Linked DNA regions of Callithrix jacchus. The protein of the gene in region 3 interacts with the protein of the main gene of each other region in a pairwise test. Links are inferred from orthologs where the notes say so. Each region holds a gene or a part of one and is shown on either strand. Other genes may lie near its edges. The genes, in order: EXOC7, C3H4orf46, KXD1, CCDC185, MOB1A, MAP1LC3A and LRRC45.

Region 1 (3,500 bases), on a different chromosome or scaffold from region 3:
CCTAGCCCACACACCAGAGTTCCCCAAACCACCAAAGACACAGGAAAAAATCCGAAAGCCAAGAAGGGTTAACAGAAGCCACCACACAGAGAGCCTGGAGGGTGCACTTGGAAGGAGAAGGTACATGCTCTTGGCATGGGGGAAAAAAACAAAAGTTAATATCACACGTGAAAACAATCAGAACAAAAACGGCAGTGCCCACAGCTGCCTGGGTCAGCCTCCTCTGTGGGAATGAGACATCTCAGGGCCAAAGACGTGGAGAAATCAACTCCCGTCTCAAACAGACCAGTGCAGCTGCCTTGTTAACAAAATGTATGGGAGAAGAAAGGCACCCAAGACGCCCCCGCCCCCCCATTGCCTATCTGAGCACAGTGAGGATGCTGCGTCCTGGCAGCTCCTCAGAAAGCTGAGGGAGGAAGGGGCAGTGTGTGGAGGCTCATTGCTTGCACCTGCACCGCACCGCGCCACACCACATCACACCACAATTAACTCTTTTTTTTCTTTTTCTGAGACAGAGTCTCGTCCTGTCACCCAGGCTGGAGTGCAGTGGCTCGATCTCAGCTCACTGCAACCTCTGCCTCCCGGGTTCAAACTATTCTCCTGCCTCAGCCTCCTGAGTAGCTGGAATTACAGGCATGTGCCACCATGCCCGGCTCATTTTTTTTTTCTATTTTTAATAGAGATGGAGTTTCACCATGTTGGCCAGGCTGGTCTCGAACTCCTGACCTCAGGTGATCCGCCTGCCTCAGCCTCCCAAAGTATTGGGATTACAGGCATGAGCCACCATACCCGGCTCACAATTAGCTCCTAATAACCAAGTCCCATGGCCTGGCTCACATCTGCCTTGCTCATTCTCTCCCCTTCAGCAAGCACGGCTCACTAAAGAGTGAATCTGAATCCTGTCCCACAACCCACCAGGAGCAGAGGCAGATGCACACCGGGGAGGATGTGGGTCAGTATGTGGATCTGGTAGGCACCAAACCCATCAGGCACCCAATTACCTCCAGGGATGCCGAGGTTGGTGCTTTACCTGGGAGGCACCCCTGCCCCTTTCCTTAGAAGTCCCTGGGGCTTGATTCCCTAGAGCCTGACATTAGTCCTGAGCCCACCAGTTCCTGACAACTCTTGAAACCCCACAGACCCCCACAGCCGGAGAGGTTTCCTCTTGTGTCTCTGGGGCAAGGATCGATGTCATCCACTGTGAGCTCCCTGAGATCAGATCCCTGCTGCATGGCCAGCGGGCACTCTTAGGGCAGTGCATATAGGGCTCTGGGGCCTCCCAGGGGCCAGTCACAGAACCAGGCAGAAGAGGAAGCCAGTGCAGACTAGCTGGGGCCCAAGCACCCTCGCAGCCTTATGGAGACAGCTGCCCCACGCCACACAGAAGACACAGAAATGCCCTGGCCGCCATTCGGCCAGCTGAGCCCAAAGGCTGGACTGGCAGTCCCTGTTGGCAGCAGGTTTTGTCTAGGTGGGCAGGATATCCACACTGGAGGGAGAAGGCCCCAGGCCCCAGCTCCCTAATGCTCTACTCACTTGTGCCTCTGAGAGCAGCCCCTGTTCTGCCCGTTTCTCCAAACCCTAAACAAAGGCCTGCAGGGGAGCAGGTGCTCTCTGAGGGGTGGGGCAGGTAGGAACCGGAGAAACCGAGGGTGTAAGTAAGCTCTACCCAAAGCCTGTTGTCACAAGAAGCAAGTCCCACAGCAACTAGGGCAGGTGCCTGCAGCAGCAGCTGGGCAGGGGGCCAGCCTGGGTGGGAGCAGCCCCAGCATCTCTGGCTTTCTCTCCCAGAGCAATCTCAGTCCCACCGAATAACCAAGTCCCCACTGGAACTTCCCAGCATCTCCTCAAGCTGCAGGAAGCATCTCTCAGTGGCAAGACCAGGCTTGCCAAGCTGTGGCTCACAGAGACGCTATTTACCTGGAGCACAGACTACAAGAGACATGATGCCAGTGAGAAAGAACAGAGAGATGATGAGATGTTCACCCAGGACAGCGACAGCTCTGCCCAGGCCTCTCATCGTGGTGCCCCTTTCCACAAGGCCTGACTCACACTGGAGCCCAAAGCCAGTTTAAGTTCTTCTGAGAGGATGCTCTGGGGTTTCTTTCCTTTCTGGATTGACCGGGAAAGTGAAATTCTCCCCATCCAGCTCTCAGCTAAACGTCACTTCAGGTCACCCTGCTTTTCTGGAAGGTGAAGGTTAGAGCGCCTGTCCCCTTGCTATCCCAGCATCCTTTCTGGCTGCAGCAGTGTGCCAGGCCTCCTGACAGGACGATGTGTGTGTGAGGGAGGGGGTCCAGGCAGGGGCTCTGCCCTGGAGGCCTCTGCAGCCTGTCTCAGATGGGATTAACTGAGGACCTGTAAGCCCCCCACTACAAAGAAGCTGTGTAACCCCCAGGCTCTGCCAGCTGGAAGGAAGAGCCTCACTCTTGGGGGGCCTCACTGGGTGGGAAGACACTTGCTTTCTGTCCTGTGTACCTATAGTCGGGGTTACCATGACAACAAATTCTGGAGGAATCTGATGCTGCGAATGCTAGACTGGACAAAAGCAGTGCAGGCCCCAGTCAGCCTCTGGGTGTGGCAGATGGGGGCTCACCTGGCCGCTTGACTGGCTTCTTGGTAGGTGTGTCTTTCCTCTTGTTGGGGATAGCAGGGGAGTAGGGAACCCCAGAGGAAGAACTGCTCTTATGGAAATGCTCCTTCAGGCCCTTGATGGAGCGGTCCAGCTGGCTGGAGCGTATCTGGTAGTAGACGTTCATGAAATCTAAGGAGACACAGAGCGATAGAGGTGTGGTTGCCAGGCCCTGCCCTTCCTTGCAGACCTGCCATATCTACCTGTCAACCCTTCCTAGCATCTGCTCTCCATTCTGGGTCACAAGCCACCCACATCTTGTCCCAAATCAGGCCGTCTTTCAAAGTTTTTTTTTTTGAGACAGGGTCTTTCTCTATTGCCCAGGCTGGAGTGCAGTAGCACCATCATGGCTCACTGCAGGCTCCACCTCCTGGGCTCAAGCAATCTGCCCACTTCAGCCTCCTAGAGTGCTGGGATTACAGGTATGAGACACTGCATCCAGCCAGGCAAAGTCTCAAAAGAGAAAAATACCCTTTAATAGAACTGATAATTAGTTGTAAGGTTTTTTTTTGTTTTGTTTTTGAGACAGGGTCTTACTCTATTGCCCAGACTAAGTGCAGTGGTGTGATCTCGGCACACTACAACCTCTACCTCCCAGGCTCAAGCAATTCTCCTGCCTCAGCCTCTTGAGTAGCTGGGATTGTAGGCACATGCCACTACCACCTGGCTATTTTTGTATTTTTTAGTAGAGATGGGGTTTCACCATGTTGACTAGGCTCAACTTGAACTCCTGACCTCAAATGATCCACCCACCTCAGCCTCCTAAAGTGCTGGGATTACAGGCATGAGCCACCTTGCCCAGCCCTAGTTGTAAGTTTTGAATGGTACTTTTTTTAAAAAAAGTAAAAAACATAAAGTTAACATCCAG
Region 2 (4,100 bases), on a different chromosome or scaffold from region 3:
AGTCAACCTTGGGTTGGTGAGTTTGTATTTGCTCTCCTATTCAAGGAAAGGAGCTCTTAGATCAAGTCAAGCTTGTTGCTAAACAACAGTTTAGCCCGATGACGACAGTTTTTACTATCCAGACCTTTCTAGAACTGTGTATGGATGGGACACCAGTACTCCCCTCCGTCCTCACAGACATAGTGGAGTTTGAGAAGAGACTCACCAATGCAAAGAACAAGATGGGGAGTCTGTTTGGGCTACCTGGCGCACTCCACCATCCTATTATGCTAGAGCTCACTCCTGGGACATTTCCCAACCTGGCCATAGTAGCCAATTATTGGACCAAAAGAACCAACCCAACAATCACAGGCTTCAAAGACCCCAACATAATACCGGGAGCAAGTCTCTCACTGCCATTGCTACAAATGGTGGCACAGAGACCTGTCAAGAGGGAAGACACGGGTGGGCCAATGGACGGAACTCTTGTTATCTTAAGTTGTTATGGAATCAACGGTTATGATTGAACATCCATTCAAAAACGAAGAAAAATTTCATTCTGAGTGCATACAGAACTTCTGAACAGAGGTCATCCTATACATGTGGTAAATGTACAAATATGACATATGAAGAAGTATGAAGTAATACAGTCATTATTAAACAACGAAGTATGTCAAATTAGTCATCAGGTTTCAAAGAATCATAGCCTTCTTTCAAGAGGTCCCGCCATGTTTTAAGGAAACGTGCATTTTCTGTACATTTGAAGGCAAGCTCTTCCACTTGAGCTGATACTGCAGATGTGGCTTCAAGGAGTTTGGTTAATGAAAAGGCTGCCTAAAATTAAAAAAAAAAAGTCAAACAAGTTTATTTTTTAAATTCTCATCTCATTTTACAAGTAGTCTCAAAATAGCTTAAGGCCTTGAATCCAATGCCCCTGTTTTCTTTAAAAGTAATCAATTTTCAAACTAAAGCATTGGCTCTTCAATATTTCTTAGGTTCCCTGAAAGAGCCAATGCTTTAGTTTGAAAATTGAGTAGGCTTTGAGGAAACAGGTCTGCTAGAAAAATATTCACTATGTATGAGACATGACAAGTCAGTATTGTTGTTTTCTGTGAAAATACACTAGTCTCAGTTCAACAAGATGACTTGGACCCCTTCACACTAAGTGTCAGAAGTATCTGAAGGAATTCATCATAAATAATTCTTACTGCTATGTGGGTAACATGGGCATTGACCTGTGAACGCTTTAAACAATGAAAATGTATAGATCAAAGAACAGAAACTCTGAGCTCTGACAAACAACATCAACGAAATCACACACGAATGCAGAAAACACTCAGCTCCTGGTGGAAATTTCACTTTTTAGGCAAATATTTTCTTTGCTGATGATATAAAATAAAACGTTTTTCCTAAATAACACATTAGCACTTCATTCTACATATTTCTTTGTAGAATATTCAAAGAATATATAAGAAAATTCTACATATTTACTTACAATCAGTTTGTTCTGCAAAAATAAAGGCTGAATATGCACTTTAGTCATCCTTAAAAAAATACATGCGCAGCAATGAGATAGTCGAGGTCATCCCGCAGTTTCCAATCCTTAAGAAAGGTCATGCCACAGAGCTCTCCCAGAAGGTTACAGCCTACATACCTCATTCCACTTGACCCACTCGAGAGACCATAAAACTGTGACTTCCCTTCTCCCCCTCCCTATCTTGTGTGAGTTAGGGGTGGGAGGTGGGGTGCTAGTTTCTGGGGACTCGAGATTTAACAGAAACTATCCTTACTAAGTATGCATTCTACAAAGGGAGGAGTGCTAGCAATCATACAAAGGAAGGAGTGCTGAACTAAACCCTTAATGAAGCCAATCCACGTGACCTAAACCCTTCAAGCTGGGTCCACCGCTAAGCAGGCCTGAGGCAGACAATGGCATTATCATCTGTCCCTGGGCAGGTGGCCAACTAGAACAGCGGGCTCTAAGTCCCATGGAAAAAAATCACAGTCTGAACCTAAACACTCGCAGGCAGCAAGCAAACCCATGCAGTGAAAACTATTCTCTGATGGGAGGGGAGGAGGCAAAAAGCCAGCACTGGGCGGCGCAGAGCTGCATGGCTTCGGGTTACTGCGGATGATTGAAACCAGAAGGCGAGACAAAAAGAGACCAGTTAGAAGTGGGGCGGGTGGATGGATAACCCTTAAGACTCCTCACCGCTAAATCTAAAGGGGAACACTCAGAAAGGGTTTAGCTGCTGGCATCTCCCACTCCCCGCTTCCCGCCCGCAAGCTCTCGGGTGCAGAAGGGCCGGTCGTCCCCGGTCGTGGGGTTGGGGGACCGACTCCCTGGCCTCGCGGGCCCAGCCGCCGCCAGTCTTCCCAGAGGCGCCGAGGAGGGACGCAGTCCCAACTACACACTCACGTCTCCGATTTGCAGCTCCACTTCCTCCAGCGGGTCAACCTTTCGGCCGCTGCTCCCGCTCGGAACTGGCCAGCTCAAACTCACTGGGCCGCCGGGGAAAGATGCTGCAGAGGCGTCTGCAGAGGAGGGAGAAGAAGGAGGAGGCGGGGGAGGCGAAGAAACCTGCAGCTCCACAGGGTCGGCCATGGGGGAGGACTGAGACCGCGGAATCCAATCGAGCACCCGAACCGACACCAACTGTCTTTTAACCGCTCGCGCCCAAAGCCAAGTGGCCCCGCCTCCTAGCGCCCGAAATCCCGCCCCGTCTCCTCACGGGTCTCAGCCCTGGATCACAAAGACTTTTCATTTTTCGGGACAGCCAATCAGATGACATCTATCCACCTTAGGCAGCTCAAGGCTACTGCGCGAGCCTCTAGTAGGGCTGGAAGGGCGCGCGTGCAGAAGACTACCCCTCCCAGGAAGCTGTGCGCGTCGCCCCGCCTTCCACTGTCTTTCACTGCGCGTGCGTTGTCCTGTGGGATTCGTGAACCTCTCTAGCCGCGCTCTGGCTGGCACCGCGCCCCGGCTGGGTCTTGGAGTCCCTAATTTCCCTGGTTTGGTACATGACCCGGAAGCCTCGGCTGTCCGCCGCGTCATGCATGGCGCCGGCGCAGAGTGAGAAGGAGGCGGGAACGCCGCGAAGCAAGAGCTGTCGGCAGAGCTGGGTAGACGAACTGCGGTCGAGTTCTTGCTTCCCGGCAGGTGATGGCGCCCCCCGCGGCCTAGAGGTCCAACGCCCGCCGCGAGCAGCGGAGATTCCTCCTGTTCTGTCCGACCGAGAATCCTGGTGACTTTGAACATGCTGGTGCCGCTAGCCAAGCTGTCCTGCCCGGGTGAGAGGGAACGTAAGGTGGGGATAAGTGGAGGAATTAGGGCAAAAGCGACAAGGCCGGTCCTGGGGGCTGTAGGCACCTCTCACCTCTCACCTCTTCTCTCATCTGCTTTCTGAGGCTATCTGGGGCAAAGGTCACGCTCTGTGAGCCGGGTGGTGGACCCTGGCTGCTTCTCTCTGGGGTTGCCTCAGTTGGAAAAAATAATATCTAGGCTAAAGGTCAAGGGCGGAGAAAACTTGTCAACACACCCCACCCACCACCACCGGTCAACAAACACACATCTCGGTGGACTCCTGAACTAAGGCTTCCCGAATCATGGTTCTAATCCTCAAAGCTTTGTTTTAAATGGGGGGGGAAAAAAAGTTGTATTTGCCTAGTTTTTATCCTTGGTCCTGACCTGACTTTCGTCTTCGCAGCCATCCTGGTTCAGTCTAAAGAAATTGAAGTCTTATCTGTCACATCATGGTTAACATTCATATGTTAACCAAGTCACCTGAGTGTATCTGGAGCCAGGAGTTTTCTGCCTTGTCTAAAATTAACTATAAAGGCCAGTCGCGGTGGCTCATGCCTGTAATCCCAGCGCTTTGGGAGATCGAGGCCGGTGGATCACCCGAGGTCCAGATTTCAAGGCCAGCCTGACCAACATAGTGAAACCCCATCTCTACTAAAAATACAAAACTTAGCTGAGTGTGATGCCGCATGCTTGTAATCCCAGCTACTCAGGAGGCTTAGGCAGGAGACTCAGGTGAACCCGGGAGGTAGAGGTTGCAGCGAGCTGAGATCACACCACTGCACTCCAGCCTGGGTGACAGAGCCAGACTCCGTCTCAA
Region 3 (4,188 bases):
CTCTACTAAAAATACAAAAATTAGCTGGGTGTGCTGGCAGGCGCCTGTAATCCCAGCTGCTCAGGAGGCTGAGGCAGGAAAATCACCTGAACCCAGGAGGTGGAGGTTGCAGTGAGCCGAGACCACACCATTGCACTCCAGCTGGGGCAACAGAGATTCCATTCCCCCCAAAAATAAAGGGTTTCAGAGCTCACTTAACCTACTCTCCTATTTATTCAAGCTCATACATACTAACTGCTATCCTTATTTATAGATGAGAAAATGGAGGATCAGGGACACTAAAGAACTGGGACACTGTCACAATCCCAGCAGTGAACCTAAGTCACAACAAATGTCCACAGCCCAGAGGTCTCACAAATGTGTGGATCTTAACAGATGCACAATATCTAGCAGTGACAGGACAGTGGCTTCTTACAGCAGCTGATTTCTGTATGACCTCTGAAGGATTTTTTTTTTCTAGGAAATTGACTCATTGACAAATGTTAGCAATGAATACTTTTTCCCAAAATATCATGGAGGCCAAGGGTATCTCTTTGTGATCTGAATCTGGCTGGCCAGTGGTTTGCAGCACCTTCTAGAAATACAATGCCACACCCAGTGAAACCCCCCTCCAATAATTACTATGGTTATTGAACTCCTGTGACATGCCAGGCAGAGACACCCACAGTCCCCACATTCCCAAAGAAGCATGCTCTTGTATAAAGAGGATACCTGGACTGGGTGCTCACGCCTGTAATCCCAGCACTTTGGGAGGCTGAAGCTGGCAGAGCACCTGAGGTCAGGAGTTTAAGACCAGCCTGGCCAACATGGTAAAACTCCCGTCTCTACTAAAAATACAAAAATTAGCCAGGTATGATGGCAGGCACCTATAGTCCCAGCAACTCAGGAGGCTGAGGCAGGAGAATTGCTTGAACTCTGGAAACAGAGATTGTAGTGAGCTGAGATCAAGTCACTGCATTCCAGCCTGGGCAACAAAGGGAGACTCCATCTCAATTAAAAAAAAAAAAAAGCTGGGTGCGGTGGCTCACGCCTGTAATCCCAGCACTTTGGGAGGCCGAGGCGGGTGGATCACAAGGTCAAGAGATCGAGACCATCCTGGTTAACATGGTGAAACCCCATCTCTACTAAAAAGTACAAAAAATTAGCTGCGCATGGTGGCGCGTGCCTGTACTCCCAGTTACTCAGGAGGCTGAGGCAGAAGAATTGCCTGAACCCAGGAGGCAGAGGTTGTGGTGAGCCAAGATCACGCCATTGCACTCCAGCCTGGGTAACAAGAGCGAAATTCCGTCTCAAAAAAAAAAAAAAGGTGGGGCGCAGTAGCTCACGCCTGTAATCCCAGCACTTTGGGAGGCCGGATCATGAGGTCAAGAGATTGACTTCAGATCACGGATTGATCCAAGGTCAAGAGATTGATCACGGATCACTTTGGGAGGCGGGTGGATCACAAGGTCAAGAGATTGAGACCATCCTGGCCAACATGGTGAAACCCAGTCTCTACTAAAAATATAAAAATTAGCTAGGCATGGTGGCGTGTACCTGTAGTCCCAGCTACTCGGGAGGCTGAGGCAGGAGAATTGCTTGAACCTGAGAGGCGGAGGTTGCAGTGAGCCAAGATCATGCCACTGCACTCCAGCCTGACACCTGGCGACAGGGCAAAACTCTGTCTCAAAAAAAAAAAAAAAAAAAAAAGACACCTGGAAAGGAAGGAAGCCCGTAGCTAGTGGCAGTGGGACACAGTTACTGGGACCTTCTGGGATACACCCCTACTTCAAAACAGAAATCTTTCCTGTCTCTGACTCCCAGATGTGAGGGCTGATTTATGGCACCTCCCTCTTGTTCCCCCTGCAGTTTCCTCTCCCAAGAAGCCTTCCCTGATTACTGCTAGTCTGGCCCACCTAGTGAAATTGACCAAGCAAGGGCTCTGATCCCAACTCCAAATGTGGATTTATTGAAGAAACGTAGGCTGTTTAACCTTAGGAGAGCCACTTCACCCTTCTGAATCAGTTTTTTCAACCATAAAATGGGAAAAGGGTGGAATGAAGATCTCACAGTGCTGTCTGTGAGAATTGAAACCAACGGTGATAACGAGTGGAGCTCAGAACGGGCTGTTTTTCCAAGAGGAGTGTGAAGGAGTACCGGGACAGGGCCCAGGAGTCAACATTTAGAGAGCATCCCAAGGGCTTCTAAGAATATATTATGGACAGACACTTGTAGAGCACTTCATTTAATCCTCAATCACCGTTATGAGGCAGACGCAATCACCTACGAGGGAAACTGAGGCTCACAAGAGTGGGCGCAGTTGCCAAAACTCACACGGAGAGGCAGAGCAGGACAACGGTTCTATCCAGATTATTTAACATAATTTAACTCCGCCATCCAAGCTCTGAAAAACCCCAAGTGGGGAGGAGCTCAGATATCCCCTCACGCCCCGTCACCTACAATGCGGGGAAACTGAGGCACAAGCCGGGCAACGCCCAGCTCCAGGTTACACGGCACACCCAGAACACAGGCGGCCCCACTTCCTATTTCTATACACCTGATCCGGATCCAGATCCAGCCCGCGGCGCCGCAGGTGTATCCATTGCGCAGACGGGGAAACTGAGGCCTGTGCGCAGCAGGAGTGACCAGATGTGGCCAGCGGCGCACCCCACCCCACCGCAGCCCGGGGGCCGCGCCCGACCCGGCCCGGTTCCCCGCGGCCCTGAAGTCCCCAGCCCCACCCCAAACTCGGCCCCGGCGTCGGTAGCGGCGGCACCTGCACATCTGGCGGCCTCGCTCGCGCTTCCGGGATGGCGCCCGCGCCGGCGCAACGTCACCACGCACCGATCGTGCGAGCGCGCGTGGCGGCGACGTATCCTGGAACCCCTTGCGTGCTTGGAGTCACGACAGGAAAGGGCGGAGCTTAGACGCAGCTTCAGCTCGCGGGTGGTCACAATGAATAGCCAATCAAGCAGTTCGGCTTGCGCCTGCGTATTTTCCGAAACCCCGGGTTCAGAGCAGCCTGGCAGAGGGAACGCTCAAAGAAGAGTTCCATCTTATAGATGGTGTGACTGAGGGCCCAGAGCGGCAACAGTCCCCAAGATCGTAAATGCTCCAGTGGTCTGTGGCCAAACCAGACCCGCGTGTCCTGCTTTCCAGGCAGGGAATCAGCAGAGCTGAGGTGGTGCCGGTGCTACGGCACCTCAGCCTAAGAGACAAGAGCGAAACTCCATAAGAAAAAGGATTTCCGGCCGGGCGCGGTGGCTCGCGCTTGTAATCCCAGCACTTTGGGAGGCCGAGGCGGTCAGATCACCTGAGGTTGGGAGTTCAAGACCAGCCTGACTGACATGGAGAAACCCCGCCTCTAAAAAACTAAAAGAAAAAAAGGAAAAGGATTTCCATTTGCATTTAGTCATGTCTCCTTAGTCTCTTACCCAATCCACCATTTGTGTCAGGTTCTCCACGTCTTTCATGATCTTAATGATTTTTGTTTGTTCGTTTGGTTTGTTTGTTTTTAAGATGAAGTTTCAGCCGGGCGCGGTGGCTCACGCCTATAATCCCAGCACTTTGGGAGGCCGAGGCGGGTGGATCATGAGGTCAAGAGATCGAGACCATCCTGGTCAACATGGTGAAACCCCGTCTCTACTAAAAATACAAAAATTAGCTGGGCATGGTGGCGTGTGCCTGTAATCCCAGCTACTCGGGAGGCTGAGGCAGGAAAACTGCCTGAACCCAGGAGGCGGAGGTTGCGGTGAGCCGAGATCGCGCCATTGCACTCCAGTCTGGGTAACAACAGCGAAACTCCGTCTCAAAATAAATAAATAAATAATTTTAAAAATAACAATAAAAAATAGGATCTCGCCGGTGCCATGGCTCACGCCTCTAATGCCAGCATTTTGGTAGGCCCAGTCTGGCGGATCACGAGGTCAGGAGTTCAAGACCAGTCTGACCAACATAATGAAACCCTGTCTCTACTAAAAATACAAAAATTATTTGTATTTTTTGTATTTTTAGTAAAGACAGGGTTTCATTATGATGTGGTGGTGTGCGCCTGTAATCCCAGGTACTTGGGAGGCTGAGGCAGGAGAATCTCGTGAACCTGTGAGGTTCACGAGAACCTCACAAGAGCGAAACTCCGTCTCAAAACAAAAAAGAAAAAAATAAAATGGGCCCGTGGCCCCATCTATGGTCCCAGCTGCTCAGGAGGCT
Region 4 (4,213 bases), on a different chromosome or scaffold from region 3:
TCTCTCTATGTTGCCCAGGCTGATCTAAGCGATCCTCCTGCCTTGCCTTCCCAACATGCTGGGATTATGGGCATGAGCCACCACCCAGCCCAAGTCTTAAAACTTTTAACTGATGCTTAGCATGGCACCAAAATAGTATTTATTGAATGTATTCTGGTGCCAACCTCTGGATGCACAATTTCACCTGAGCTTCACAACAGTCCTGTAATGCTGGTATCATCAGGCCCCTCTTCCCACTCCACCTTGCTGGAACTGGAGGTGGGGAAGCTTAGGGAATTTGCCCAATAAAGTGAAGAGTGGTGGAGGAAATTCAAATTCATTTTCTCTACCAAATCCAGTGCTTTTCCCATTAGCCAAGGGTGCCTCAACAAGAAACAAGAATCCCACAAAACTGGAGGAAAAGGGCAAAAAATAATGTGATTTCAGCATGGTGTTCATTGATGCTATTGCAAAAATGTGCATGTGGCATTCATATTTTGACTATAGCAGTAATTACCACATTAGGGAATAGAGTCATCTCCTTCCTGTTCTAAAAATCTTAAAATATAAACATTAAAGCATACTTTGGGCTTGCTAACTTAAAACGGCAAAAGGGTGGTGTCGCTTTGTGTGTGTGTGTGTGTGTGTGTGTGTGTGTGTGTGGCCCTCGGCCCACTGCAACCTCCATCTCCCGGGTTCAAGTGATTCCCCTACCTCCGGCTTCGAAGTAGCTGGGACTACAGGCACCTGCCGCCACGCCTGGCTAATTTTTGTATTTTTAGTAGAGACAGAGTTTCGCCATATTGGCCAAGCTGGCCTCGAACTCCTGACCTTGTGATCCACCTGCCTTGGCCTCCCAAAATGCTGGGATTACAGGTGTGAGCCACCGTGCCCGGCCTGGTGTCGGGTATTAATATGCGTCCAAGCCTTTCTATTTGAGCACACTGCAGAGGTACACACATGGCGGACGGTGATTCTGCAGCTAAGGGTACCTCCTCCCTGAAACTGTGCCTCGGCCTTTCTACCCACCCCTTCCATTCTGAGGGTGACGCCTTCACCTGGGCTGTCTTAAAATCCTGCTATTTTTGTGCAAATGCGAGTTCAAACTTCTGCCTCAAACACTGGTGGGGGGACACTATGCACCTGCAGCTTTAAATGTCACCCTGATTTCCTACAGACCCCCTCCTCCAATCTGCAACCCCTCTCTCCCCCACCCCACCCCCACCCCCACCCCCATCCTCAGCCTCCTGTCCTTCCCATTCTAGGTTGCTAGCAAGGCTGGGGTGGGCGGCACCGGGCCAAGGCTGAGGACTGCGGGGACCCAGCTACCAAGCGCATTGTGAAGTGGCTGGAACGTCACAGGCGACCTAGACCTCGGGACCGGGGGGCGGGGCCGGTGTCTGCAGCGTCCTATGAAGGTCTCAGGCCCCTTGCGCAGACGCTGCGCGTGCCCAGAGGGAGGATGGCAGGCTTCGGTCACTCCTCCCCGCGGCTCTACCTGGACCTCTGGGAACCCCCACGGCCGGGCGAAGAGCAAGAGACCAAGCAGCGGCTGGGCAGGCAGAGGTCCAGAGCCGGCCCTGCCGCTTGCTCCCGGGCCGGGACTCTGGGTGCGGAGAGCGAGGATGGGGGGCCCTGGCTGCACCCGCACTGTTCGTTCACCCCACGCCCTCGCAGACGCGAGTGCCCAGACTCACCACGGGGCAGCCGAAGCCTGAGCGACGTGACCTGCAGGCCACTGGACCGAGCCAGGAAGCACGGGCCTCGCAGCAGGCGCCTGGAAGATGCCTGGGGAGAGGCAGGAACCAAGCCCCGCCAGGCCTGGCAGCCGCAAACCCAGCTGCTAGGCCAACGACAGCAGCCCTGCCCGCATTACCCTCTGGCCCAGGGAGACTCGCCCCCGCCTTACCCCGGAGAAGCTGGTACTCCCCTGAGTGGCACATTCAGGATAGAAAAGGCACAGGGTGGAGACCAGTGGGCAGTGCCGCTCAGCAGACGTCTAGGTCGCTGGTCCCCTTCCTTAGTTCTCTCAGAGCGGTCTTCTGTGCCCTCCCAAAAGTTCAGGCCACACTCGGCCTGCATGTGCACACAGAAGAGAGACAGCAGCGACCAGGTTGAGTCATTAGCCAGCCAGGACTTCCAGCCCTCGGCCTCCAGCAAAGAGAGGCGGAGCCCGCACACCCAGGTGTTGAAGAACAAGCTGGAAGAAGCAGTGATGTCCTCCCAGGACCAGCGGATTGTGGCCCTGGTGCTGATCCGGCTCAAGAAGGCCCAACGGATGCGGGAGCTGCAGCAGCAGGCGGCTGAGGCCTGGGAGGAGCTGAAGCGTTCAGATCAGAAAGTCCAGATGACCCTGGAGCAGGAGCGCCAGCAGCTGCTGCAGCAGAGCCAGGAACAGTGGCAGCAGGAAAAGGAGCAGCGCAAGACCCTCCCGGGACATGAGCAGCGCGGCCAGCGGCGGGACAGCCAGGGGAAGAACGTGCCCCCTGGGGAAAGCTGGTGGAAGGAGCAACCGGAGGACCAGGAGAACCTGTGCCAGGAGAAGCTGGAGAAGGCGCGCGCCCAGGCAGAGCACCAAAAGCAGTGCCAGGTGCGGTGCCTGCGGGAGCAGGAGAGGATGCCGCGGAACATGAGGGAGCAGCACAGCCTGCAGCTGCAGAGGAGGCTGGTGGAGACCTGTCGCAAGAGGCACCTGCATGCCGCAGAGGGCCAGAAGAAGGTCCAGGACACCAACCTGAGCTCCCTCATCAATTACCAGGCCCGGAAGGTCCTCATGGACTGCCAGGCAAAGGCCGAGGAGCTCCTTAGGCAGCTGTCCCTGGAGCAAGGTTTCCAGAGGTCCCAAGAGATACACCAGGGCCTGATGAAGGAGCGGCACCGTGAGATGAGAGAGAAGGCCCAGAAGGAGGAGGAGCAGTTGCAGCAGGCCAAGTGGCGCGCGGGGGAGTCCGGGGAGCAGAGGAAGATGCACAAAAGGATTCTGGTGGAGCTGGCAGATGAGAAGATCCGGCAGGCCAGGAGTCATGTGCACAAGACCGCCAGGGACAAGGTGCAGCGCCTCCGGGAGCTCAACCACCTGCGTGAGAAGAACCACCACATCCTGAAACTGAAAGCCGAGAAGGAGGAAAAGTGCCACATTGAGGGCATCAAGGAAGCCATTAAGAAAAAGGAGCAGAGGGTGCGGCACATTACCCCAGGGAAAGACTCAAACTTACAGGAGTTCCGGAAGCTCCCGCAGGCCTCCAGGAGAGAGAACAGAGGAGCAAGGAGCAACAGCTCCCTTGATCAGATAGAACTAGAGGCCCGCTCCCTGCCTGTCGGCAGAATGGGCGCCACTGAGAGCCAAGGACGCCAGGCTTAGAGGGAGCAGCCAGAAGGAGATGTGGCAATGTGATTCCTTTTATAATCTGATTACAATTGAACATTGATTTTTAAAAAGCATATAAAATTGCTGCAATTTCCTCTCATGAACTGGTTTATTGATTCACTTGGATAGTTTAGAGGGTTGGGGAGAAAATTTTGGGAATTTTTATGAAAATAATGTGGCTTTGTGAATTTTGATTTGAATAGAAAATACTCACTTAGCTCTCGAGTAATCTTAGAAACACATAATGGGCACATTTTGGAGATACCAGAGAAAAATCTCTAGTCAGGGATACAGTTCTGTGGTATGTCTTAAGTCTCTTCCAGTCCCAGAACTTATGGAAGGGTAAAGTATAAAGTACCTGTCATATGAAATCTCCAAGATAAAAAGAAAGTTTAAAAAGTGAGAAGTGGGAGGATTCCTGTGAACAAGCAGATTTGGGAGCCCTGCATACTGTGTCCTCTCTTGGGAGTTCATAATGCAATTTAAAATGTTAACGGCTCTGAAAAAGCATCAGTAAAGAAACGGATTTGTTTAATGTAGTGTTTTTCACAAATTATAGAGCGCCCCCCCCCTTTATTTTCTCAGATAATTTCATGGAATTGATGTTCTGTGAAACATTTTTGGAAACGGCCCTCTATAGTTTTTACCTGATTGTCAACTTCTCTGGCCTTCCCTCCCTGTGTTAATAGGAAGTGTTTATAACTCCAACAGCTCTATATCTTGACTATTCCACCATAGCTACACCATCTGATATGGTTTGGCAGTGTCCCCACCCAAATCTCATCCTGAGTTGTAGGTCCCATAATTCCCATGTGTTGTGGGAGGGGCCCTGGGAGATAGCTGAATCATGGGGGTGGGGGTTTCCCC
Region 5 (4,235 bases), on a different chromosome or scaffold from region 3:
GAAAGTATCAAAAACTAAACTCGCCGGGTGCGATGACTCATGCTTGTAATCCCAGCACTTTGGGAGGCCGAGGTGGGTGGATCCCGAGGTCAAGAGATCGAGACCATCCTGGTCAACATGGTGAAACCCCGTCTCTACTAAAAATACAAAAAAATTAGCTGGGCATGGTGGCGTGTGCCTGTAATCCCAGCTACTCAGGAGGCTGAGGCAAGAGAATTGCCTGAACACAGGAGGCGGAGGTTGCAGTGAGCCGAGATCCCGCCATTGCACTTCAGCCTGGGTAATAAGAGTGAAACTCCACCTCAAAAAAAAAAAAAAAAACAAAACCTAAACTCATCAAAACTGGTGATTAGTTCTAGGAAGAGGAATGGAATAGACTATGGACTTTTACTTAACCTCAGTAATTTGGACTTTAAATAAGACTGATTAAGAAGTAAAAGAGAATTGTGAAAACACTAAAAATCAAATATGGAAAGTTTTTAATGTGATAAAAAACTATATTGAACAAGGAAAAAAGTATTTGCAAAAAAATCAAGGATATAAGGACTTGTATCTAGAATGTATAAAGAACTCTTACTACTCAAAAACAAACAGCCCAATTTAAAAATGGGCAAAGGATCTGAATAGACTTTACTCCAAGGAATATATGCAAATAACCAATAAGCACACGACAAAATGCTCAACATCATTAGTCATTAGGGAAATGCAAATCAAAATCAGGAGATACCACTCCACATCCACTTAGGGTGACCATATAAAAAAAAGACAATTAACAAGTGCTATGGAGGGTGTGGGGAAATTGGACCCCTCATACAGTGCTTATGGGAATGTAAGATGGTACAGCACTTTCAAAGTTTGGCAGTTCCTCAAAAGGTTAAACATAGTTACCATGTAAACCACTCCTGGCAATTTCACTCCTAGGTATATACCCAAGAGATATGAACACATACATCCACGCAAAAACCTGTCACATATGTTCACAGCTGCATTATTCATAATGGCCAAAAATCGGGAACAACTCAGGAGTCCATGAAGAAGGCCAAGTTTTAAATAAACAAAGTCTCTGTTGGGTGCGGGGGTGGATCACCTGAGGTTAGGAGTTCTAGACCAGCCTGGTCAACATGGTAAAACCCCGTATCTACTAAAAATACAAAAATTAGCCGGGTGTGGTGGCCAGTGCCTGTAATCCCAGCTACTCGGGAGGCTGAGGCAGGAGAGTTGCTTGTACCCAGGAGGCAGAGTTTGCAGTGAGCTGATACCATGTCATTGCACTCGAGCATGCGTGACAGAGTGAAACTCCATGTCAAAAAGAAAAAGAAAAAAATCTCACATTAAGGTCCACAAAGCAACTATGCATTCACTAAATATCGACTCATAAGAAAAAAGTGGAGGAGGGGGGAATACTTCTATTAATATGGAAATAAATCTAAATCATACAGGCTTTTCGACAACGTCATCGTATTTTAGAGATCATTCTTTTATAAAAATAACCCAAAGGAAGGAAAATGAGACGCAGATAAACATAGTCTTAATAGTGCTATTTTATAAGAGCAAATACTGGAAGGAATCCCAGGTTTCTTACAATAAAGTGGGCAAACTCTGGTTACCAAAAAAAACCACTATGTAGTGCTTTTTATATTGTACTTAAAAATGTCAAGCTTGTGGATTATATCCATAACTAAAAATGGATAATTATTCATTCAACCACAAAACCCACATTTAAGCAATATATAAGGTGGAGAGAGCCACCTGAGAATAAAAAATACTGTGCTAGAGCAGTGCTTCTCAACCTTTAATGTGCATAAGAATCATCCATTTACAAACTTTTTAGTTTGGGCTCAGGCATTATCTCTAAAATGAGATTCTAAGGTATGTGTATTAAGTTAACTGCTGTAGTGCACTAAAACGGCAATACTGTGTTTCTGTAATGGGACTAAGAATGAATTTTTTTTTTTAATTTTAACTTTCCAAATTATAATAATATTGCAATGTACTATGTAAGAATACGGTGTATTACATAATGATTAAAAACCCACGATTCCACCGAGGACAAAAGAAGTTAGTTAAAATCAAAGCCAGTAAGTGGGCAGAATCAGAATTGGACAGAACGATCTGACTCCAAGGCCCCCATCTTAACATCAACCTCTCAAACCGCCGCACTGCACATTCTCCTGGGGCGGAATTTAACACCGACGATAATGAAACTGGACCTCTAACAGAGCGACGAGCTAAGGCGGCAGGGATCGTTTCTAGAGGCTCGAGACGAAAGAAACTGGGGGCCCGCGGCTCCGCCCCCAGATCATCACCCCGCCCTTGGGGGCGCTCGGGCGGAAAAGTTTGGAGGCGCGGCGGCCCCAGGGCCTTTCTACTCCCCAGCTTTCTCGCTCCGTTCCCTTTACCTCGACCTTCATCTCTGTCCGCCTCTCCCAACATCTCGGCCTCCAGCGCGGGCCCCAACAGAGGCAAAACAAACGCCAGCTACCCCGCCCCGCCCGGGCCCCCGGGCCCAGCCCTCGCCTCAGGTCTGGGGAGGCCTTCCCTACGACCTCGGCCCGCGGCCCGGCCCCACTCACAAGAGGAAGCTCATCTCCGGTCCTCAGAGGGGAGGCAAGGGGCCTCTGGCCCCCGCCCGGATCGGGATTCGGAGCCGGCGAAAGGGAGCGGACCGTCCTTAGCTCACGGGCAGCGGAAGCCGGGCCGCCGCCGCTGGGAGCCGGAGTTCTGGCAGCTGCGAGCCCTTACAAACCTCGACGCCCGCCTCCCCCGCCAACCCCACCTCACAGACCCGAAATGCGGAACCAGCAAAATCTCGCGAGCTAAGGCTTCGCTGCGCCAGGACCACTTGACGCGCCCCCTTTCGCTCCGCCTCTTCCTAGAAGTCAGCAATCATCGCTCTCCAAGCCAGGACCTCCCTCCCCCGAAGGCGTGGCGAGGGCCGCGGTCCTGCGGAAGGGACAGTACCTTGTCCTGCTCTGGTGTATCTTGATTCTGCTGGGTTTCGACCCCGCTCCCTAGGTTGTGCAGGGGCCTCTATAAGCGCTGTCTAGTCCTGCGATTTTTAAAAATTTAAATTTAATTTTTACTTGAAATATATTCACATAGCATAAAATTTACCCTTTAAATATGTACCCTCTAGTAGTCTTTTTCTTTTTTTTTTTTTTTTTTTTTTTGAGATGAGGTCTTGCTCTGTCGCCCAGACTGGAGCGCAGTGGCGCAATCACTGCAGCCTCGACCTCCCTGGCTTAAGTGATCCTCTTGACTCAGCCTCCCGACTAGCTGAGCCCGCAGGTCCATGCCACCACACTCTGCTAATTTTCTCAGTTTCGTAGAGATGGGGGTCTCACTGTGTTGCCCAGGCTGCTCTTGGACTCCTGAGCTCAAGGGATCCTCCTGGTTTGGCCTCCGAAAGTACTGGGATCCCAGATGTGAGCCACTGCCTCTGGCTTCGTTTATGTTTTCGAAGTGTGCCAACCATCACCACTAATTTTTTTTTTTTTTAAGACAGAGTCTCACTTTGTAGCCCACTTCCAGATTGGAGTACAGTGGTGCAACCTCGGCTCATTGCAGTCTCTGCCTTCCAGATTCAAGGATTCTTGTGCCTCAGCCTCCTGAGTAGCTGGGATTACAGTGGTGCGCTGCCACACCTGGCTAGTTTTGTTTTTTTCTTTAAGTAGAGACGGGGTTTCACCATATTGGCCAGGCTGGTCTCGGTCTCAAACCCCTGACCTCAAACAATCCACCCGCCTTAGTCTCCGAAAGTGTTGGGATTACAGGCATGAGCCACCGCGCCCAGCCTAACCATAATTCTACGACATTTTCGTCACCGGGAAAAGAAACCCCATAGCTATTAGCAGTAACTCTTTTTTTTTGAGACGGAGTTTCGCTCTCGTTACCCAGGCTGGAGTGCAGTGGCACAATCTCGGCTCGCCGCTACCTCCGCCTCCTGGGTTCAGGCAATTCTCCTGCCTCAGCCTCCCAAGTAGCTGGGATTACAGGCGCGCGCCACCACGCCCAGCTAATTTTTTTGTGTTTTTAGTAGAGACGGGGTTTCACCATGTTGACCAGGATGGTCTCGATCTCTTGACCTCGTGAACCACCCGCCTCGGCCTCCCAAAGTGCTGGGATTACAGGCTTGAGCCACCGCGCCCGGTCAGCAGTCACTCTTTTTTACCCACCTCCCTCCCCCTAACCCCTGGTAATCACTACTCTACTTTCTATTTCTGTGGATTTACCTA
Region 6 (3,395 bases), on a different chromosome or scaffold from region 3:
TTCTATGCCTTCCTGCGGCGGGAGTACTACCTCACACACGGCCTCTATTTGACGGCCAAGGACGGCACGGAGGCCATGCTTGTGCTCAAGTAGGCCTGGCTGGCACAGGGCTGCATGGACCTCAGGGGCGGGAAACTGGGCCAGGCCCTCCAGCCAGAGTTGCCAGCAGGCGAGTCCTTGGGCAGAAGAGGTTCAAGTCCAGGGTCACAAGTCTCTGGTATCAAAAGGGACCCATGGCTGACTGCAAGACCTCTGGGGAGGAACTGGGAGCTCTGGAAAAGGCAGGTGAGCAGGGCTTGTTAGGTTGTGGCTACTTAATAAATGTTTTTTGTTACGAAACCTACCCTGGGCCCATATCTGCATTGCACTCCTGGGGGTGGCCCCTAATGTTCTGGAAAGTACACACAGGTGTGTGTTTCTGGTATGTCAGAGCCCAGGGACGGTTCGGACAGCCCCACCAGCACCCTCCCCACTCCCAAGCAAGCAGCTGGAGGCATAGGGCCAGGCAGGCCTGAGCAATCTTTATTCTGCAGAGGGACAATGACCACAGATCCATACACCATGTGGAGATGGAGGGGTGGGGGGGCCAGTCTTTCAGGGGTGGGCAGGTCCAGGTAGTGGGCAGAGCCTCGGGTGGGTGAGGGGCAGGCAGGGGCCTAAAAAAAAAGATGAACCACACAGCAGGAGTGTGGGGGGATGCTTCCCACCTTCCCCCATCCCAGCCAGCACCCAGAGGGGCAACCCTAACAAAACCACTTAGGGGCAGAGGAGGTGGGTTGGTGCCCTCTGACTACGGGGCCACATCCCTGCCCAGCCCACCCCCAAGCAGAGGCAGCTCAGTTCAGGAACCAGGGGTTCTCTGGGCAGGGCCTGACCGGGCTTCCCCCCACTCCCAGGCCGACCCCCCTACTGCTGGCTCAGAAGCCGAAGGTTTCCTGGGAGGCGTAGACCATGTAGAGGAAGCCGTCCTCGTCTTTCTCCTGCTCGTAGATGTCCGCGATGGGCGTGGACACGCTCACCATGCTGTGCTGGCTCACCAGCAGGAAGAAGGCCTGAGTGGGGTTCAGCTGCAGGCGGCGCCTGAGGCAGGCGGGAGGGTGTGCGGCTGTGAGGGACGTGGCTGCAGGGCAGGCACAGCCCTGACCCCCAGAATGATTCCCAGCCTTTCACATCCATCCTCACCCCAGCTCTCACCTCTGACCCGACTCCAACTGCAGCCCCGACCTTGACCTTTCCAGCCGCGCCAGAACAGGGGCCCACCGCCTGGTCCCATCACTACTGACCCCACTCCCACCTCCTCTCGGCGGGAACCCGGCTCCCCGCCAGACCCAAGCTGCCTCCTGGCGGCGGCTGCCCACGCACCGGATGATCTTGACCAACTCGCTCATGTTGACATGGTCCGGGACCAGGAACTTGGTCTTGTCCAGGACGGGCAGCTGCTTCTCACCCTTGTAGCGCTCGATGATCACCTGGGAGCGGGGCAGGCGGGCAGGGGTTCGTGTCGGGGGCGCGCGAGGCGCGGCCAGGGCGGGGCAGGGCTGGGGGCACCGGACTCACCGGGATCTTGCTGGGGTGCTGGTCGCGGATCTGCTGTACCTCCTTACAGCGGTCGGCTGCGGATGGCGGCCGGACCTTGAGGCCGGGCTGAGCCGGGCCCAGGTCCTCCCCGTGTCTCCGCCCCGCCTGTCCCCAAGGGGCGGCCCCCGGCCCCGCCCCAGCTCCAGCCCCCGCCCCCGGGGCCGGCAGGCCCCACAGCCCCTAGCACCTATCATGGTGGGGAGGTGGGCGGCCTCCGCCCAGGCTGGAGTCAGCCTCCCATCCCGAGGGTCCGGCTGGGGCCTGACGTCACAGGACTGACGTCACCCGCGGTAGTCGGGGTCGGCCGGGCCCCCGCGTACCCCTGCTCCGAGCTCACAGCTTGCCCGCGGGGCCTCACCGAAGCTCCGCCGCTGCTTGAAAGGCCGGTCTGAGGGCATCGCGCGGGCCCGGTTGGGCGCGCAGGCCGGGGCTCTGGGACGTGGGGATGTGGCTGCGGTTTGGGGGCTCCGGGGGCTCCGTGCCTCACGCTGAAGGGCTCCGGGGCTCGCGCTGAGCGCGGCGGCGGCGGCTGCGGGAGGTAACTCGCCCGGTGACGTCAGGTCACAACATTCCTTAAAGGGGAGGCCGGCGCACTGCTCCCATTGGGCCGACGCACAACCTGCCCGCCCGGGCTCATGACGTCACGGCGCAGAGCCCCTGGGTCCCCGGCTCGGGACGCGAGGGGCGGGGCTCCTGGGCGCGTCACAGTCCTGTGACGTCATGGCCGGCCCAGGAGTCTCTCCCGGCGCGGAACTCAGGTGAGGCCTGGAGGGCGGCGGGGCTGCCAAGGGCTGAGGGAATGGGCGGGCCAGGCTGCAGCCCCGCGGCACCGCTCCCCGCGCCCTCACCGAGTCTGTGCCAGGCCTGGCGCGATTCTGGGCACCGTGGGAAACAGCCGGCGCCTTCTAGGGGCTCAGGACGAGAGACGGGAGAAGGTGCAGGAGGCACAGGATCAAGCAAGACATCACAAAAGAAGGCCCAGGTTTGCAAAGGAATTCTAGAATTGACAAGTAGAGCCATGGAAATTCAGGTCTCGGAGGATGAGGTGTAGGACAGCAGAAAAGAGTGCGCGGACCTGGAGGCTGATCGGAAGCAGCTCACCAGAGAGACAGGTGATGGAGAATAAAAAGGAAAAAGCCACGGATGGCAATGCCGGGAGATCTCACAGGCCGGGGCAGAGCTCCCTGCAGAGGCAGTTCCTGAAGGAGAGCTGCCAGAAGTGATTCTTAAAATCGGGTGGAATGCAAACACCGGAGATGAACATCTGGACGCTAGTGAATCTGCAGAACTCCAAAGACTATGCGATTTTAAAAGCGACCAAGGATGATGGATTTTAAAAATTACACCAATAACAAACTTCTCAGCAGCAAACGTAGAAGGCTACAGTAAAATGTAACGCTTTACACCTCGTTGACAGGAAAAATGCTGTCAACGAGGTGTTGATCCATGATTTAAGAGTTAAGAAGTAAAGATAGGTGGTGACAAAGAGCTTACACGAAAGACTGTTGCTGAAATTATTTTTGGGGGGTGGGACTGAGTCGTTCTGTCGCCCAGGCTGGAGTGCACTGGCGCAATCTCAGCTCACTGCAACCTCCACTTCCCGGGTTCAAGCGATTTCTCCTGCCTCAGCCTCCTGAGTAGCTAGGACTACAGGTACGTGACACCACACCCAGCTAATTTTGTATTTTTAGTAGAGACGGGGTTTCACCACGTTGCCCAGGATAGTTTTGATCTCCTGACCTCGTGATCCATCCGTCTCCGCCTCCCAAAGTGCTGGATTACAGGCGTGAGCCACTGAGTGCGGCAGCTGAAATAAT
Region 7 (4,248 bases), on a different chromosome or scaffold from region 3:
GAGGCAAGGGCCATCCTGGGGCATCTGGCCACCATCCCAAAGATCAAGGGGCACTGCACAATGCTGAGGTGGACACTGTGCTCAGCTCACGTTCTGGAAAGATCATGGCATGTGGGGAGGTGGCAGAGGTCAGGAGCAATGACAATAGCCAGGCCAACACTCAGGCAACGCCAGGGACAGTGCAGCTCAAGCCAGAGGCCAGGCAGGGCCAGCAGGAGGGTGAGCCCTCGGCACAGGGGCCGGAAGAGGCTGCCACTGTGTGTGGATGAGGGAGTATGAGGCCTGATACTGAGACATCAGCCGCAAGGACGTGGGGTTGCTGGTAGGTGGGAATGTGGAGGCCACACAGACCAGGCAGCCCCAGCCCACAGGACTCAACATGCAGGGCCACAACTCAGGTTGACCAGGGAGCAAATGCCAAGAAGCCCCTCCCTAGCCAAGGCCTGGGCCACCTGAAGCATCAGCACTGCCACCAAGGCCAGGGCTGTGAGCCACAAGGCCTCAGCTTCCGCAGCTATGTAATGGGTACCCCCACTGCATAGGTTGTAAGAACTCATGGAGCACACAGGGAGTCTTGGACAGTGCCCATGTGTGGTGAGTGCCGATCAAGTGCACCGAGACCCTCTGCTCCTTCCGCTTCTGCAGGCTCTCAGGCTGCTCTCATCATCAGTTCTGGTCCCAGGCCCAGCACCCCGCCCTCAGTGGACACGCCTTTCTCAGAGGCTCGTGTGTCGTTCCACACAGCCCTGCAGCGTACCCACAGCTCTGAGGACATCTCCGGGGATGTTGTTCCCAGCCAGGTCTAGCCTCCACAGGGTTCTGTTGTTGGGGAGACAGTTCATGAGAGCCCGGCCCCCCAGGAGGCCAATGTTATTCCAGCGCAGGTCTGGAAAGAAACCTGTAGTCACCAGATGGAATGCACCTGGTGGAGGGGGAGCTGGCCTGGCTGGTCCCCTAGCCCCTCACTTCCAAGAGCACAGGCAGTCTTGGAGGGACGAGGGAGCCCGAGGCACCCTGGAGGCCTCACCCAGCTGCTGGAGGGTGGCATTGCCCTTCAGGGCCAGGGCCAGCTCCTCGGCGCCCTTGTGACTGATCTGGTTGTTGCGGAGGTCCAGCTTCTGCAGCGTGCCATTGGCTGCCAAGCCCCCACAGAAGGTAGCAAAAGCATCATCCCACGTGCCCAAGTTGTTCCACTCCAGTGTAAGGCTGCAGGAAGGACAGGAGCCAGTGTTAACCCAGGGGACTGCCTAGCCCATGGGGTCCAGGGCCTGGGGATGGTGTTGGCTTGGGGTCTGATGGGCTGGAGCCTCTGCCTGCTCACTGCTGTTTGTGAAACACAGCAGACAACTGGCAATTGTGAACTCTTGGGCAGCAGAACCATGTGCTCTAGGGCCAATCCTCAACCACATAGAGAGGGGACCTGGGGTGATGGTGGGGTCAGGACCACCACCCACCTCTGAATGGATTTGTTCTGTTGGAGGAGTTTTCCCAGAGCCTCAGCCCCGGTGGCTCGAAGGTTGTTGCCCTAGGACAGAAACAGGCTGGTAGTCGCTCCCCTCACCCTGACTGGTTCTGAATTCCCGCTCATGCCCCAAGGGCCCTGGTCAGCCAGTGGACAAGGCTGGGGTGCCCCCTGGGCAGACGTGTGGCCTCCCTTCCTTCAAGAACTTCCTGGGGCTGGCTTGCTTGTAGCTGATGTGAACTCTTGCTCCAGAGACAGTCACTCAAATAGGAGGCCTTTGGAGAATGGCCTGGGACACTTACAGTTTCCAGCCACTTGTCCAGACCCCAGGCCCCCCGAGACCTGGCATCTTCCCACTCTCCTCTTGCCCTCGGGTGGCACACTTGGACACCCAGAGTGCAGGTATCTCACCTTTAGGTCCAGAAAGCGCAGCACGGTGTTGGCACACAGGCCTCGGAGCAGCAGTGTGGCCCCTGTGTAAGGGAGGCCGCGATTACTCTCTGCCCCTGCTGACCCCAAGACCTTCCCTGTGGGCCCCTTTTGAGGGCAGCTCCCTAGACCCAGGGAAGGACAACTGTCCCGGTGGTCTGGGTTGGCGCTGGCCAAGAGTCTCGCTGCGAAGCTGTGTTTGAAACACCTGCAGCCCCTGCAGCACAAAGCCGCGTCAGCACGCAGGGAACCAGGTAAGTCGCGGCAGGTTAAGGCCTCTTCCCCCGTCATAAAGAGGAATTGCCCTCCAGTCCTGCTCGCTTTAACTACGGTACAGAAAGAGGAGAGCCTGGAGAGGAAGCGGCCTCTGGGGCTGCCAAGGCAACGGCGTGGGCAGCTAAGGAGCAGCGACCTACCCTGTCGGGCCTGCCCACCTTCCTCATTGAGCATGCAGTCGCTTAGGACCAGCTCCGTACACAGCGTCTCCCTCGGCAGCAGCTTGCCTAGGGCCCTGCAGGTGTCCACTGTCAGGCTCTGCGTGGCCAGGTCCAGCCGGCCCCTGGGAAGCTGGTGCAGCTGCTGCAGGACAGCCTCCTGGGGCTCGGCCCCACTCTCCCTGCACAAGCGGCTGTAGCAGCGCCGGAACTCCTCCATGACCTGCGGGGTCGGCAGGACCTCCTTCGCATGCTCCCGCAGCTGCTGAAAGGGAGCCGCCTGGTGCGGAGCAGCCCCGGCGCCGGGTACAGGAGACTGGGCCTCCGCTGACCCGGACGAAGAGCAATCAGAGTGGGCTGTGCGGGCGGGAGGTCCTGGGAGCGCGGGGCTGGGCGGTAGTCAAGGTCCACTTTGGGCTGGGGCCCCGCGGTGCGTGGGGACCACCCGTACAGGAAGCAGGCAGGCTCGTCGCGCGCCCCCTCCAGGCCCTGCAGCGCTTGCAGCCTCGGCCCCGGTCTCGCGACAGCCGCTTTGGGACCTCAGTATCCAGGAGGAACCAGGCGCGCCGGGAGCGGCCGCGGGAACTACAACTCCCAGCAGGCGCTGCGCTGGCGGCGCTAGTTGGGGGCCAATTAGAACAAAGGAACTGGCGCGCTCTTGGGCTAGCAATCCGAAGGGGAGCAGCGCGCTCCAGTTTCATTGGCTAGGGTCATGAGGGTGGGGCTCCGGGAGGGCATGCTCCAGGATAATTGGCCGAGGGACGTGAGGGTGGTACCCCGGTAGGGCGCGCTCCTGGTTCATGGGCTGAGGGGCGTGAGGGTGGGGCTGCGGGAGGGCGCGCTTCTGGCTCATTGGCTGAAGGTAGGGGCGGGGCTCCGGGGGCGCGCTCGGGTCTCATTGGCTGGGGGCGCGGAGCGGGGCTCCCTAGGGCGCGCGCCGAGGAGGCGGCCATGGAGGGAGTCGGAGCAGGAGCTGGTTTCCGGAAGGTGAGGGTCGGCGGGCAGGGGCTAGGGCGGCGTGGACCCTGCATCCCGATCCCACGTGTGACACTGTGAGGGCCCGAAGCCAGCCCCCGCGCCGCCCACCTGTGCCTTTGATGTTGGCCCCGTTCTCAGACTCCTACCCCGGCCCGCCAGCGCGCCCCGCGCTATCCTGGGTGGGAGTCTCGCAGCAGGTAGAAGGGTGCGTGGGGCAGCCGGGGCTGCGGGAAGGTGGAGAAGGTTTGCAGAAATAGGCAGGGGTAGGCGCCGTCCAGGCGGAGTCCAAGCCAGCAAAAAGAGAGGAAGAGCTGGGCCGCCGTCCTGAGCCCTGAGCCTGGTTTCTCCTGTGAAGAGGAGGTCAGACCCCAGGACGGCAAGAATGAGGCCCGAGTCGGCAGACCTGGCCCAGCCGCCAGGCACAGTAGTTCCCCTTTTGCCCACTCTCCGGTGGGCGCCAGCACTGGGCTAAGTCCCCGGAACGCGTGGTGTCCTCGGTGCTCCACGTTACACACACTGGACACCTATTAACCCCGCCCGCCAGTGGGGAAACCGAGGTACGGGTGTGTTAAGTGATTCAGCAGGGCTAGGGTCAGACCCAGGCCGTCTGAGCCATGATCCGCCAAGGCTGGAGGGCGTGCCCTGCTCTTCCCTGCCCCTGGTGAGTGGGGCTCTCTGGGGCTGTCACGTGCAGAGGACCCCCCTCTGTGCAGGCAGAGTGGTTTCTGAGCCCTTCGTTCTATTACTGTACCTGAAGGTTGGGGCACTGAGCTTCCTCAATGTCATCAGGGCCTCGTGGACCTCTGTGGCCTGGAAAGGGGAGGGTCTCAGGCCCTTGTGAACCCATCCTCAGGGTCCTACTTCAACCCTGTAGGGGCAGGGGGAATTCTTTATTAGCCCCTTCTTTATCACCCAAGGACACCAGGGGCTCAGTACAGGGTTGGG

What was found.
Region 1: the proteins of KXD1 (region 3) and EXOC7 interact in binary tests that used the Homo sapiens proteins (3 or more experiments, as listed by UniProt). The two-hybrid records come from large-scale screens. The link is inferred for Callithrix jacchus from reciprocal best matches to the Homo sapiens genes KXD1 and EXOC7.
Region 2: the proteins of KXD1 (region 3) and C3H4orf46 interact in binary tests that used the Homo sapiens proteins (3 or more experiments, as listed by UniProt). The two-hybrid records come from large-scale screens. The link is inferred for Callithrix jacchus from reciprocal best matches to the Homo sapiens genes KXD1 and C4orf46.
Region 4: the proteins of KXD1 (region 3) and CCDC185 interact in a two-hybrid assay, tested with the Homo sapiens proteins (2 studies listed by BioGRID and IntAct). The two-hybrid records come from large-scale screens. The link is inferred for Callithrix jacchus from reciprocal best matches to the Homo sapiens genes KXD1 and CCDC185.
Region 5: the proteins of KXD1 (region 3) and MOB1A interact in binary tests that used the Homo sapiens proteins (3 or more experiments, as listed by UniProt). The two-hybrid records come from large-scale screens. The link is inferred for Callithrix jacchus from reciprocal best matches to the Homo sapiens genes KXD1 and MOB1A.
Region 6: the proteins of KXD1 (region 3) and MAP1LC3A interact in binary tests that used the Homo sapiens proteins (3 or more experiments, as listed by UniProt). The two-hybrid records come from large-scale screens. The link is inferred for Callithrix jacchus from reciprocal best matches to the Homo sapiens genes KXD1 and MAP1LC3A.
Region 7: the proteins of KXD1 (region 3) and LRRC45 interact in binary tests that used the Homo sapiens proteins (3 or more experiments, as listed by UniProt). The two-hybrid records come from large-scale screens. The link is inferred for Callithrix jacchus from reciprocal best matches to the Homo sapiens genes KXD1 and LRRC45.

What each region holds. Positions count from the first base shown.
Region 1 is NC_133506.1:131,998,421-132,001,920, forward strand, and holds part of EXOC7 (exocyst complex component 7), read right to left. Parts: intron 2,765-3,500; coding exon 2,597-2,764; intron 1-2,596. UniProt on the Homo sapiens protein: Component of the exocyst complex involved in the docking of exocytic vesicles with fusion sites on the plasma membrane.
Region 2 is NC_133504.1:37,670,846-37,674,945, reverse strand, and holds the start of C3H4orf46 (renal cancer differentiation gene 1 protein), read right to left. Parts: upstream 2,801-4,100; 5' UTR 2,585-2,800; coding exon 2,399-2,584; intron 814-2,398; coding exon 658-813; 3' UTR 1-657. Other genes in the region: ETFDH (electron transfer flavoprotein-ubiquinone oxidoreductase, mitochondrial), read left to right, coding at 3,237-3,270.
Region 3 is NC_133523.1:17,269,793-17,273,980, reverse strand, and holds the start of KXD1 (kxDL motif-containing protein 1), read right to left. Parts: upstream 2,801-4,188; 5' UTR 2,537-2,800; intron 1-2,536.
Region 4 is NC_133520.1:5,346,495-5,350,707, reverse strand, and holds the start of CCDC185 (coiled-coil domain-containing protein 185), read left to right. Parts: upstream 1-1,413; 5' UTR 1,414-1,441; coding exon 1,442-3,340; 3' UTR 3,341-4,213.
Region 5 is NC_133515.1:39,015,391-39,019,625, reverse strand, and holds the start of MOB1A (MOB kinase activator 1A), read right to left. Parts: upstream 2,801-4,235; 5' UTR 2,588-2,800; coding exon 2,574-2,587; intron 1-2,573. UniProt on the Homo sapiens protein: Activator of LATS1/2 in the Hippo signaling pathway which plays a pivotal role in organ size control and tumor suppression by restricting proliferation and promoting apoptosis.
Region 6 is NC_133506.1:4,744,815-4,748,209, forward strand, and holds MAP1LC3A (microtubule-associated protein 1 light chain 3 alpha), read right to left. Parts: upstream 2,124-3,395; 5' UTR 1,977-2,123; coding exon 1,937-1,976; intron 1,842-1,936; exon of another isoform or gene 1,773-1,841; coding exon of another isoform or gene 1,766-1,772; intron 1,614-1,765; coding exon 1,558-1,613; intron 1,470-1,557; coding exon 1,363-1,469; intron 1,081-1,362; coding exon 918-1,080; 3' UTR 501-917; downstream 1-500. Other genes in the region: GPI-anchor transamidase component PIGU, read left to right, coding at 1-93. UniProt on the Homo sapiens protein: Ubiquitin-like modifier involved in formation of autophagosomal vacuoles (autophagosomes). While LC3s are involved in elongation of the phagophore membrane, the GABARAP/GATE-16 subfamily is essential for a later stage in autophagosome maturation.
Region 7 is NC_133506.1:137,627,136-137,631,383, reverse strand, and holds the start of LRRC45 (leucine-rich repeat-containing protein 45), read right to left. Parts: upstream 2,801-4,248; 5' UTR 2,546-2,800; coding exon 2,308-2,545; intron 1,936-2,307; coding exon 1,874-1,935; intron 1,526-1,873; coding exon 1,455-1,525; intron 1,207-1,454; coding exon 1,028-1,206; intron 887-1,027; coding exon 758-886; intron 1-757. UniProt on the Homo sapiens protein: Component of the proteinaceous fiber-like linker between two centrioles, required for centrosome cohesion.